Xenopus tropicalis: one gene and its partners. The protein of the gene in region 2 purifies or fractionates together with the protein of the main gene of each other region. This does not show direct contact. Links are inferred from orthologs where the notes say so. Each region holds a gene or a part of one and is shown on either strand. Other genes may lie near its edges.

Region 1 (3,489 bases), on a different chromosome or scaffold from region 2:
GCTTACAATTTAAGTTGGTGAAAGAAACTACCAGTCCACAGATAAGGATCTGCTTACACCAGCGGTTCACAACCTGTGGGTCGGGACCCCTTTGGGGGTCTAACAACCCTTTCACAGAGATCGCCTAAGACCATCGGAAAACACATATTTCCGATGGTCTTAGGAATAACTATGGTTGGGGGTCACCACAACATGAACTGTATTAAAGGGTCACTGCATTAGGAAGGTGGAGAACCATTGCCTTACACAGAGCATCTTATTTCAAACGCTGCAGCTTATATAGATCTCAGACAGCACTCGCCAGAATGCAGTTTAGTTCAGTACACAGTTGGTTCATCTCAATGGGCATTTTCACTATTACTACAACAGGATTTCAGTAAACGGCAATAACATTTTAGGCCACTTAAGCCTTTTCCTTAAGCTACTGAATATGAACAATTAACTTATAATCTTACCCCATGGTGCCATCTACTGGTGACTCGTATTAGAACATTTATACAGTGTAACCATACAAGACTTTAAAATACAATATGTAAAATGTGCATGTTATAGCACCATATTCCCCCTCAACATAGTGCCAATAAAGCAGTCCATTTTTTCTTACCACGACTGATAGACGGCGCATTGAGAATAAATAGAAATAAAGTCCTCATTAAAATTGCTGGTATACAGTAGCAACAATGTTACTTTTATACCCCCTCCTAAATGTTCTTTTGCAGAACTAACTCGAGCCTTTTCCGAACAATCACTGTCCGGGATACCATGTCTGACCTTCCAGAAATCCGCAATGGAGCCTCTGCTCTGGAAATTTCTTACAATGGAGAGCCTCAGTCCTGGTTCCAAAGGCAGATTCGTGGCTCGCAGTATCAGCCAATTCTCAGGGATCATGTCTGCAAGGTAAGTCAGTAAAGCTAATGTTAACACGAAAGGCATTTTTATAGATTGTAATGCCATAGAAATTCCGTGTTTTACCATGTAAGTTGATAGTTTGACAATGCCTTTATACATGGTCCTAGTGATCAACCTATAGGTAATGTTGACTGTAACCTAGTGGCTACTGGTGGTTTTATGGCCTTATATATATTGTCATCTGGCCTCTGCAGGACATGAGCGCTTTAGTTGCTGCCAGAATGCGTCACATACCTCTTGCTCCTGGCTCAGACTGGCGGGATCTACCTAACATGGAAGTGCGTCTGTCAGATGGCACTACAACCAGAAAGTTACGCTATAGTCACCATGACAAGAAAAATGGGCGCAGCAGCACTGGTGCTTTAAGAGGAGTCTGCTCTTGTTCTGAAGGTATACACTTTCTCCTGCTTAATAAAGGGCTGCTGGGGTAATAGAATCTGTGTAGCCAATTACCATGGTCAGAACATGCCTTGTTGAAATGTTTTATTTTCAGGCAAACCATGTGACCCTGCAGACCGGCAGTTCAACACGCTGATTCCCTGGTGCCTGCCCCACACAGGAAACAGACACAATCACTGGGCTGGCTTGTATGGAAGACTTGAGTGGGACGGCTTCTTTAGCACCACTGTTACTAACCCTGAGCCAATGGGCAAACAGGTGAGTTACAGGTTCTAAAATACACTAAGTATCTAAGAGGTAGTGTGGCTTAGAAACAGAGGGGAAGCCATTGTCCTAGGGACAGTCGGTTACAGGCATCTTAACGGAGAAGGAAAGTCAGAAGGAAATATATATTCTGCAGAAAGCTTTACCATACCTTAGTAAACAGCCCTAGAAGCTCCCTCCGTTTAAGATGGCAGCTGCCATTTTAGCTTGGTCTCAGTAGCTTCCTGCTGCAGCTCTAGCCGTTGGTAGCATAGATCACACCTGATGGGAGTGAAGGCAGAAGGCTGCGCAGACACTGGCCCCTGGAATGAAGGATTTTTCTGAGAGGAAGTCTAATACTGAACGTGTTTACAAAGACTAGAAAACCGGTTTCTTTTGATAGAGGACTCAGTGCAGCGTTTCTGTGAGTGCTTATGGCTGTGTTTACATAGACCTTTCTGATAACGCTTTCTTGGTTTTTAACTTTGCTTCTCCCGTGTACTGAATAAACCTGAATGAATAAGGTGTATGGGGGGGGGGGCTCTTTAAAGTCTCATAGTCTTGCTAAATATTACAAGGCCACAAATGCAGCACATTACAGAATGTTTCCTCCTAGGGTCGCGTCCTTCACCCAGAGCAACATCGTGTGGTGAGTGTGAGGGAATGTGCGCGGTCCCAAGGATTTCCCGACACCTACAGACTGTTCGGTAATATCTTGGATAAACACAGGCAGGTGAGTATTGGTGACAGCAGAGAGAAGTTCTATGACAAATGCTGAACTGATGAATATATTTCTACCCTACTTCCAGTCCGTAACGTTGAAATGTTTTGTAGGTGGGTAATGCCGTGCCGCCGCCTCTTTCGAAAGCCATTGGTTCAGAGATAAAGAAATGCGTTTTGTCAAGGGAGAAAGAGAATGGAACAGGTGGGTGTCTGCCCTTAAAACATGTATCCCCTTGTGTATCCTGCATCTTATCTATCAGCCTATAATTGTACCTCTTCAACCTCTGGCACCTAATAACTTTTTTCTTTTTTTTGTCCAGAAACCGTGAAGGCTGAAAAGATGGAGACCGATTAACTTTTTTTTGGGGGGGGGGGGGGCAGCTTACACTGAATTTCCCTCCGGAGTTTCAAACTGAAGAGCAGATATTAAATCTGACACTTCTCTTCTGGTTTATCAAATTTGACATTTCCAGCTCTTAATTTTTATCTGCTGAATCAGATGAGCTGCGCGACAGCACTTCTAAAGATTTTAAAGAACAGTGGGTTTTATTATACGTTGTACGTCGGCGTCTTACCTCTCCACTTTGTATACGTGCTATTATGTAGTTTTTATATGTTGTAATATTTGAAATAAAATGTCTCTTGTACATGATGTTGCTTGTATACTGTACAGCCTCATATTGCCATAGGTTAGAAAGTATATTGTCAGCCTCCCAAGAACCCACAGCAGCCATTAGCCAAACCTAAGTAAAGGTACAAGGGGCTATGGATTGGACAATGAAAGGCTTTGTTGTACTTTAGGTACCAAAATACAGCTGAATACCTGCATTCTATCCTTTTTGTTTTCAATCACAACTGATGCTGTGTTAGCAAAGCAGAGCCAAGCCATACCCACAGGGCTCTATGATCTGCCACACCAAAATCCAAAGAGCAGGAAGACAGAAGGGCTGTGGAGTTAGTACATAAACCCTTTGACTGAGTTCTCTGTTCTTTTATGGTACCGGCAACTCTGACTCCAGATACCCAAAGCTGCTTCCGACTTCACAACTGGCTCCGCAGCCCTGATCTTCAGGCTTAATGATTCTTATGGTCTAAGACAATATCTCATCCTTATATTCATCTGATGACAGAATCCTTTCAAAAGAAACTTCCAGCACAGATATTATATGGATTCATTTGGGATTGCTAAGAAACTGATTGAACTGTGCATTTAAT
Region 2 (3,652 bases):
TACTGTCATGGAAAATGCCCTTTTGCATTACAGTAACAGCAAACAACATCATATTTTAAAGAATAAATATTTCATTATATTTAAAATCTAAATAATAAGTACTCCAAAGGGTGATCTAGTGACACTGATGAACATTCTGGGCTTCTTCACCAGCTGAAGATTAATACGTACCCAGATCTAAAGCATGTGGTTGCGTGCAGAAGAAGGGGGCATGCCTGGCAGCCATTTAAATTTTATATGGACAAAATATCTTATTGGCTACAAATGTATTTCCTGTTAAACTATTAAAGTTACAACATTTTTTAACACTGCAGGGCTGTTGGAACCTTTGCAAGAGCTTTAGATTGCAGCAGTTCAATCAGACAGCCGAGTTTACACATGAGTGCTGCAGCAGCATCTCGTGACATCACACTGGTAAGTTACAGTTTGTGTTTCTGCATTCCCTTTATAGGTGCTTGCCTTTATAACCATAAGATGCAGCAAATAGTTTGAGATATATTTTAAATAGTGTACATGGCATTTCTAAGAATTTAATTCAATGTAAATATGTAAATAATCAGTAGTTTTCAACCAGCTAATACATATTTATCTTTAGTTTCATGCCATGGATACACTACAGAGGAATGGGTATGACCTTGCCCGTGCAATGTCAACACTGGTACCTCAGGGGGGGCCAGTACTTTGCAGGGATGAGATGGAAGAATGGTCAGCATCGGAGGCTATGCTTTTTGAGGAAGCACTGGAGAAATATGGCAAGGACTTCAATGACATCCGGCAAGACTTTGTGAGTCCGGTTCTTTGTTACAAGTTCTAGGATTGGGCAGTGATAACATAGTAGCCTTGATATTGGATGTGTCTGCCTTGTTTTAGTATATTGGAAAATAATATGGACACTGGCAAGCATCTCTTAAAAGGAACATATTACACTTTTGAAGATTTCTCTCATTGTGTAGGCAGTGGTGCATTTCTGCAGTGCAGAGAGCCAATGGCTTTCCTGGGAAAGCAACCAGCAGGAGGGGAAAGCGGCTGGCTGCTGCTGGCAAGTTTTTTGTAAAAATTTGGTTAAAGCAGGAAATTGCATCTTGGCTGCTCAATTTTAAGAATAGTGTAATGCAAGGCAAATACTAATTTTGGAGACAATACATCTGTTTTTTAACCACCACCTGTCTCTTTCCAGCTCCCTTGGAAATCTCTTGCTAGTATCGTTCAGTTCTATTACATGTGGAAAACTACAGACCGATACATCCAGCAGGTAATGTTCTATGGCCAGCTGATCTCAATGGGCAAAATAAGCATTTTCAGCATTCCATTAATTGCCACATCTTCCTGCAGAAACGCCTGAAGGCAGCTGAGGCTGACAGCAAACTGAAACAAGTGTACATCCCCACCTAGTGAGTCCTTAGCTTTGTCATTCATATACTTTATACGGATATGAACTCACTTTTTTTGTTTATATAATGTTGCCATTAAATAATGAATATGGATATTAAGCCTTAATCAATTTTTTTCTTGCTTCTCCCAGTACGAAACCCAACCCCAATCAAATAATTTCTGTGGGCTCTAAGCCAGGTCTTAACGGAGCTGGATTCCAGAAGGGTCTGACCTGTGAGAGCTGTCATAGTAAGTTATCGAAACATTAGCATGCCAGTATTTTGGCATGGCTCATTTACACAATTAGCAGGGTGAGAGGATTAATGAATTCAGTAAAGTTCTGTTTTGCTTGTTAATGGTCATTGATATTATCTGTGTCATCAGCTCTTGTACAAAGCAAATCAATGAAGAAGCGGAGCACAGGATAACTCATATATAAAACCACATATTTATTTCCATCAGTTAAAAAACAGAGCAGAGCATCCTCACCTCATGGCTTAACACGTTTCGTGGTCAAAACACCACTTCATCAGAAGCCCAACCAGTGACCCCCCCTCCCAAAGTTTAAATAGACTCGACACACCCCCTCCACCCTTTAACCATTAACCCGTAAGTGGAAGGAATAGTGTGTATAAAGGCATATATATAAAAACATGGATGAGGACCCATAAGAAATACAGTTCAAATGGGAATCGCTACCCCCCTTATAACCACATAAATGATTAAACCATATAGGAGAGAGTCCAAAATAACATGAAATATACTTTGTAAATACTCCATATTAATATCAAAACAATACTAATCCTATTAACCTAATATAATTTTAACCTCATGTACTGTAAAATGTACCCTACATAAGTAGTCTCAAAGTCACATAGGCAACCATCAAACCCTTGTGTCCACATACAACCCAAGCGTACAAGGGTTCCAACAGTGGAAATTAATTTATATTACACAATAAAACATTTACATGGTAAAACATTGCTTAATGTCAGCAGTAGCAGGATAATTCCCATTCTCTATTAAGACCCCCGTATTGTTCCGTTGTCCTTAAGCGATAAATCCAATAGACCTCACGCTCCGAGAGTCTTTTATCTATATATCCTCCCCTAGCATTTGCCCTGGGTCTATCGATAATCTGGAATGTCACTCTACCTTTGCCCTCATGCTTCTCTATAACATGCTTTGCTACCGCTGATCAGCTCTTGTACAGTAAGAAACAGCAACGTGATATATGTACATTAAATGCAGTGCATCAGTGAAAGCAACTTTCTCAGAATCCCCTCCAGCAATAATATCTGTTGTACCACCCTAAGTCCATTCTAAGTAGGCTGAACTGGTTGGAACAAGGAATATCTGTACTGTAATATTTCATCATACTAGGTATTTTGCCGTAGAGGAGCTTAACTGGCTTTTTATTATTATAAATGTCTGATTGGGGACTAAGGCTCGAAGGGTAACATTAAGACAGAACACAAGCTTCAAGGAGCCTACTAGCCTTTTCATTTGCTGTAATTTGGCTAAAGCCTTCTTTAGTGACCTTCAGAGACCTTGCTACAATGATGTAGTTGCCTATAAAGGTTCAATGAATGAAGGGTAATATTGCTATTTAACAAATGCTTAGCGTGCCCAATAGTTTAGTGCTTTCTACCACATCCAGTCCTTTAATGTTTTATTTTTTCCCATACATCTTTCCTCCTTCAGCCACAGTCTCTGCTCAGTGGTATGCTTGGGGTCCCCCCAATATGCAGTGTCGACTCTGTGCTTCCTGCTGGATCTATTGGAAGAAATATGGTGGTCTTAAAACCCCAACACAATTGGAGGGAGCAGCACGGAACATAGGAGTAAGTGCACTCAATTTTCCTTTTATCAGCTCCTTCCTACCCTTTGTAGTTTAGCTACTTTATTTATTTCCAGGAACCACATTCCAGGGGCCATCTTTCTCGTCCAGAGGCTCAGAGTTTGTCCCCATACACTACCAGCGCTAACCGTGCTAAACTGCTGGCGAAAAACCGTCAGACCTTTCTGCTGCAGACTACCAAGCTGACTCGCATTGCACGGCGTATGTGTAGAGACATCCTTCAGCCAAGGAGAGCTGCACGCCGGCCTTATGCCCCAATCAACTCAAACTCAATTAAAGCAGAATGTGAGTACACAATGCATTTGTGTTACATTTTTTCTGTAGAAGCCTTTGTGGCTTTTGTCCTTGTATCATACTTATTCTTCCATGAATAACACAGTGCACCTTCTTTTCCAGGTTCTGTTCGCCTTCCTAAAGCAT
Region 3 (3,652 bases), on a different chromosome or scaffold from region 2:
TGGGAGGGTCCTCTGCGTCTGTGGGAGGGTCCTGTGCGTCGGTAGGAGGGTCCTGTGAGTCTGTGGGAGGGTCCTCTGCGTCTGTGGGAGGGTCCTGTGCGTCGGTAGGAGGGTCCTCTGCGTCTGTGGGAGGGTCCTGTGCATCGGTGGGAGGGTCCTGTTTGTATGTGGCGCGTAACCCCGGCCTGTGGGTATATGGCGCGTAACCCCCGGCCTGTGGGTATATGGCGCGTAACCCCCGGCCTGTGGGTATATGGCGCGTAACCCCCGGCCTGTGGGTATATGGCGCGTAACCCCCGGCCTGTGGGTATATGGCGCATACTGCAGGCTCCGCCCCTCTCTGTGACTTCTGTTTATTTTTCTGTCTTTTGAGTCAGGAAGGAAACAGAAAACTCCCAGGAAGTTCACGGGGGAACAGCCCTCCCTCAGCGGCACCTTCGGCCTGAAAGGTGAGTCCACCTGCCCCCCCGGCCCCCCCGGGGCCCAAACACTGTCTCACCCTGAGCCTTTCCCCCCGTAAGGTCTGGCCAAAGCCGAGGAAAGGGGGAGGCGCCGGAGGGGCGCAAAGCCGCCATTGGACGAGCCACGGAGAAGGACTGACTGTGCAAAGGCCAATCAGGAGCAAACGGCCCCGCCCCCTCCAGGTATACAGGGTCTGAGCCCGGGGGGGCCCATGTGGGGGTGCCAGGTTTATTATGGGGGGCCCATGTGGGGGTGTCAGGTTTATTATGGGGGGCCCATGTGGGGGTGTCAGGTTTATTATGGGGGGCCCATGTGGGGGTATCAGGTTTATTATAGGGGGCCCATGGTGGGGGTGTCAGGTTTATTATGGGGAGCCCATGTGGGGGAGGAGTATTAGGTTTATTATGGCCATGTGGGGATCAGGTTTATTATGGGGCCCATGTGGGGGTGTCAGGTTTATTATGGGGGAGCCCATGTGGGGTATTAGGTTTATTATGGGGGGCCCATGTGGTATCAGTTTATTATGGAGGGCCCATGTGGGGGTGTCAGGTTTATTATGGGGGAGCCCATGTGGGGGTATTAGGTTTATTATGGGGGGCCATGTGGGGTCAGGTTTATTATGGGGGAGCCCATGGGGGTATTAGGTTTATTATGGGGGCCCATGTGGGGTATCAGGTTTATTATGGAGGGCCCATGTGGGGGTGTCAGGTTTATTATGGGGGAGCCCATGTGGGGGTATAGGTTTATTATGGGGGGCTGTGGGGGTGTCAGGTTTATTATGGGGGCCCATGTGGGGGTTCAGGTTTATTATGGGGCCATGTGGGGGTGTCAGGTTATTTATGGGGAGCCCATGTGGGGGTATCAGGTTTATTATGGGGGGCCCATGTGGGGGTATCAGGTTTATTATGGAGGGCCCATGTGGGGGTGTCAGGTTTATTATGGGGGAGCCCATGTGGGGGTATTAGGTTTATTATGGGGGGCCCATGTGGGGGTGTCAGGTTTATTATGGGGGGCCCATGTGGGGGTGTCAGGTTTATTATGGGGGCCCATGTGGGGTAGTCAGGTTTATTATGGAGGCCATGTGGGGGTATCAGGTTTATTATGGGCCCATGTGGGGGTATCAGGTTATTATGGGGGGCCCATGTGGGGGTATCAGGTTTATTATGGGGAGCCCATGTGGGGGTATCAGGTTTATTATGGGGAGCCCATGTGGTATCAGGTTTTATTATGGAGGGCCCATGTGGGGTATCAGGTTTATTATGGGGAGCCCATGTGGGGGTATCAGGTTTATTATGGGGCCCATGTGGGGGTATCAGGTTTATTATGGGACCCATGTGGGGGTATCAGGTTTATTATGGGGAGCCCATGTGGGTAAGCAGTTTATTATGGGCCCATGTGGGGGTATCAGGTTTATTATGGGGAGCCCAGTGGGTAGTCAGGTTTATTATGGGGAGCCCATGTGGGGTATCAGGTATATGGGAGCACATGTGGGGGTATCAGGTTTATTATGGGGGGCCCATGTGGGGGTGTCAGGTTTATTATTGGGGGAGCCCATGTGGGGGTGTCAGGTTTATTATGGGGGGCCCATGTGGGGTAGCCAGGTTTATTATGGGCCCATGTGGGGGTATCAGGTTTATATGGGGGGCCCATGTGGGGGTGTCAGGTTTATTATGGGGAGCCCATGTGGGGGTATCAGGTTTATTATGGGGGGCCCATGTGGGGGTATCAGGTTTATTATGGGGAGCCCATGTGGGGGTATCAGGTTTATTATGGGGAGCCCATGTGGGGGTGTCAGATTTATTATGGGGAGCCCATGTGGGGGTGCCAGGTTTATTATGCGGAGCCCATGTGGGGGTGTCAGGTTTATTATGGGAGCCCCATGTGGGGTTCCAGGTTTATTATGGGGGAGCCCATGTGGGGGTTCCAGGTTTATTATGGGGCTGAGCCCATGTGGGGGTATCAGGTTTATTATGGGGAGCCCATGTGGGGGTATCAGGTTTATTATGGGGGCCCATGTGGGGGTGCCAGGTTTATTATGGGGCCCATGTGGGGGTGCCAGGTTTATTATGTTGGCCCATGTGGGGGTGTCAGGTTTATTATGGGGGGAGCCCATGTGGGGGTATCAGGTTTATTATGGGCCATGTGGGGGTGTCAGGTTTATTATGGGGGGGCCCATGGGGGGGTTCAGGTTTATTATGGCGGGCCCATGTGGGGGTGTCAGGTTTATTATGGGGCGCCATGTGGGGGTGTCAGGTTTATTATGGGGGCCCATGTGGGGGTGTCAGGTTTATTATGGGGGCCCATGTGGGGGGATCAGGTTTATTATGGGGGGCCCAGTGGGTATCAGGTTTATTTATGGGGGCCCATGTGGGGGTGTCAGGTTTATTATGGGGGCCCAATGTGGGGGTGCCAGGTTTATTATGGGGGAGCCCATGTGACACCCCTCTGTGCCCATCAGACAGTGCGGAGGGGCGGTGCCAGCGCCAGAGGGGGGAGGTTCTGTGCCCCAACTGCAAGTCCGTCACTCGCAAAACCATGACCGGCCTGAGAAAGCACATGGAGGTGTGTGAGCAGGTGAGACTGGGGTACGGGGGTGTGTTCCGCCCCCAGTAAGGGGGGTGTGTTCCGCCCAGTAAGGGGGGGGTGTCCCGCCCAGTAAGGGGGGGTGTTCCGCCCAATAAGGGGGGTGTTCCGCCCAGTAAGGGGGGGTGTCTCCGCCCAGTAAGGGGGTGTGTGTTCCGCCCAGTAAGGGTGTGTGTGTACCGCCCAGTAAGGGTGTGTGTGTACCGCCCAGTAAGGGTGTGTGTGTACCGCCCAGTAAGGGGGTGTGTGTACCGCCCAGTAAGGGGGGTGTCCCGCCAGTAAGGGGGTGTGTGTTCCGCCCCCAGTAAGGGGGTGTTGTTCCGCCCAGTAAGGGGGGGTGTCCCGCCCATAAAGGGGGGTTTCGCCCAATAAGGGGGGGTGTTCCGCCCAGTAAGGGGGGGTGTCCCGCCCAGTAAGCGGGTGTGTGTTCCGCCCAGTAAGGTGTTGTGTGTACCGCCCAGTAAGGGTGTGTGTGTACCGCCCAGTAAGGGGGTGTGTGTACCGCCCAGTAAGGGGGTGTGTGTACCGCCCAGTAAGGGGGGGTGTCCCGCCCAGTAAGGGGGTGTGTGTACCGCCCAGTAAGGGGGTGTGTGTACCGCCACATAAA

The links. The genes of interacting proteins can lie anywhere in the genome.
Region 1: the proteins of mta2 (region 2) and dnmt1 purify together in Homo sapiens (affinity purification with western blotting; 3 studies listed by BioGRID and IntAct, with this or other methods). This does not show direct contact. The link is inferred for Xenopus tropicalis from reciprocal best matches to the Homo sapiens genes MTA2 and DNMT1.
Region 3: the proteins of mta2 (region 2) and znf512b purify together in Homo sapiens (affinity purification with mass spectrometry; 3 studies listed by BioGRID and IntAct, with this or other methods). This does not show direct contact. The link is inferred for Xenopus tropicalis from reciprocal best matches to the Homo sapiens genes MTA2 and ZNF512B.

Annotation. Positions count from the first base shown.
Region 1 is NC_030679.2:137,105,547-137,109,035, reverse strand, and holds the end of dnmt1 (DNA (cytosine-5)-methyltransferase 1), read left to right. Parts: intron 1-719; coding exon 720-897; intron 898-1,103; coding exon 1,104-1,299; intron 1,300-1,402; coding exon 1,403-1,566; intron 1,567-2,167; coding exon 2,168-2,284; intron 2,285-2,385; coding exon 2,386-2,476; intron 2,477-2,594; coding exon 2,595-2,629; 3' UTR 2,630-2,926; downstream 2,927-3,489. UniProt on the Homo sapiens protein: Methylates CpG residues. Preferentially methylates hemimethylated DNA. Associates with DNA replication sites in S phase maintaining the methylation pattern in the newly synthesized strand, that is essential for epigenetic inheritance.
Region 2 is NC_030680.2:36,837,813-36,841,464, reverse strand, and holds part of mta2 (metastasis-associated protein MTA2), read left to right. Parts: intron 1-314; coding exon 315-414; intron 415-595; coding exon 596-784; intron 785-1,177; coding exon 1,178-1,252; intron 1,253-1,332; coding exon 1,333-1,391; intron 1,392-1,522; coding exon 1,523-1,620; intron 1,621-3,075; coding exon 3,076-3,215; intron 3,216-3,288; coding exon 3,289-3,517; intron 3,518-3,628; coding exon 3,629-3,652. UniProt on the Homo sapiens protein: May function as a transcriptional coregulator. Acts as a component of the histone deacetylase NuRD complex which participates in the remodeling of chromatin.
Region 3 is NC_030686.2:1,311,757-1,315,408, reverse strand, and holds part of znf512b (zinc finger protein 512B), read left to right. Parts: intron 1-377; coding exon 378-449; intron 450-521; coding exon 522-644; intron 645-2,920; coding exon 2,921-3,036; intron 3,037-3,652. UniProt on the Homo sapiens protein: Involved in transcriptional regulation by repressing gene expression. Associates with the nucleosome remodeling and histone deacetylase (NuRD) complex, which promotes transcriptional repression by histone deacetylation and nucleosome remodeling.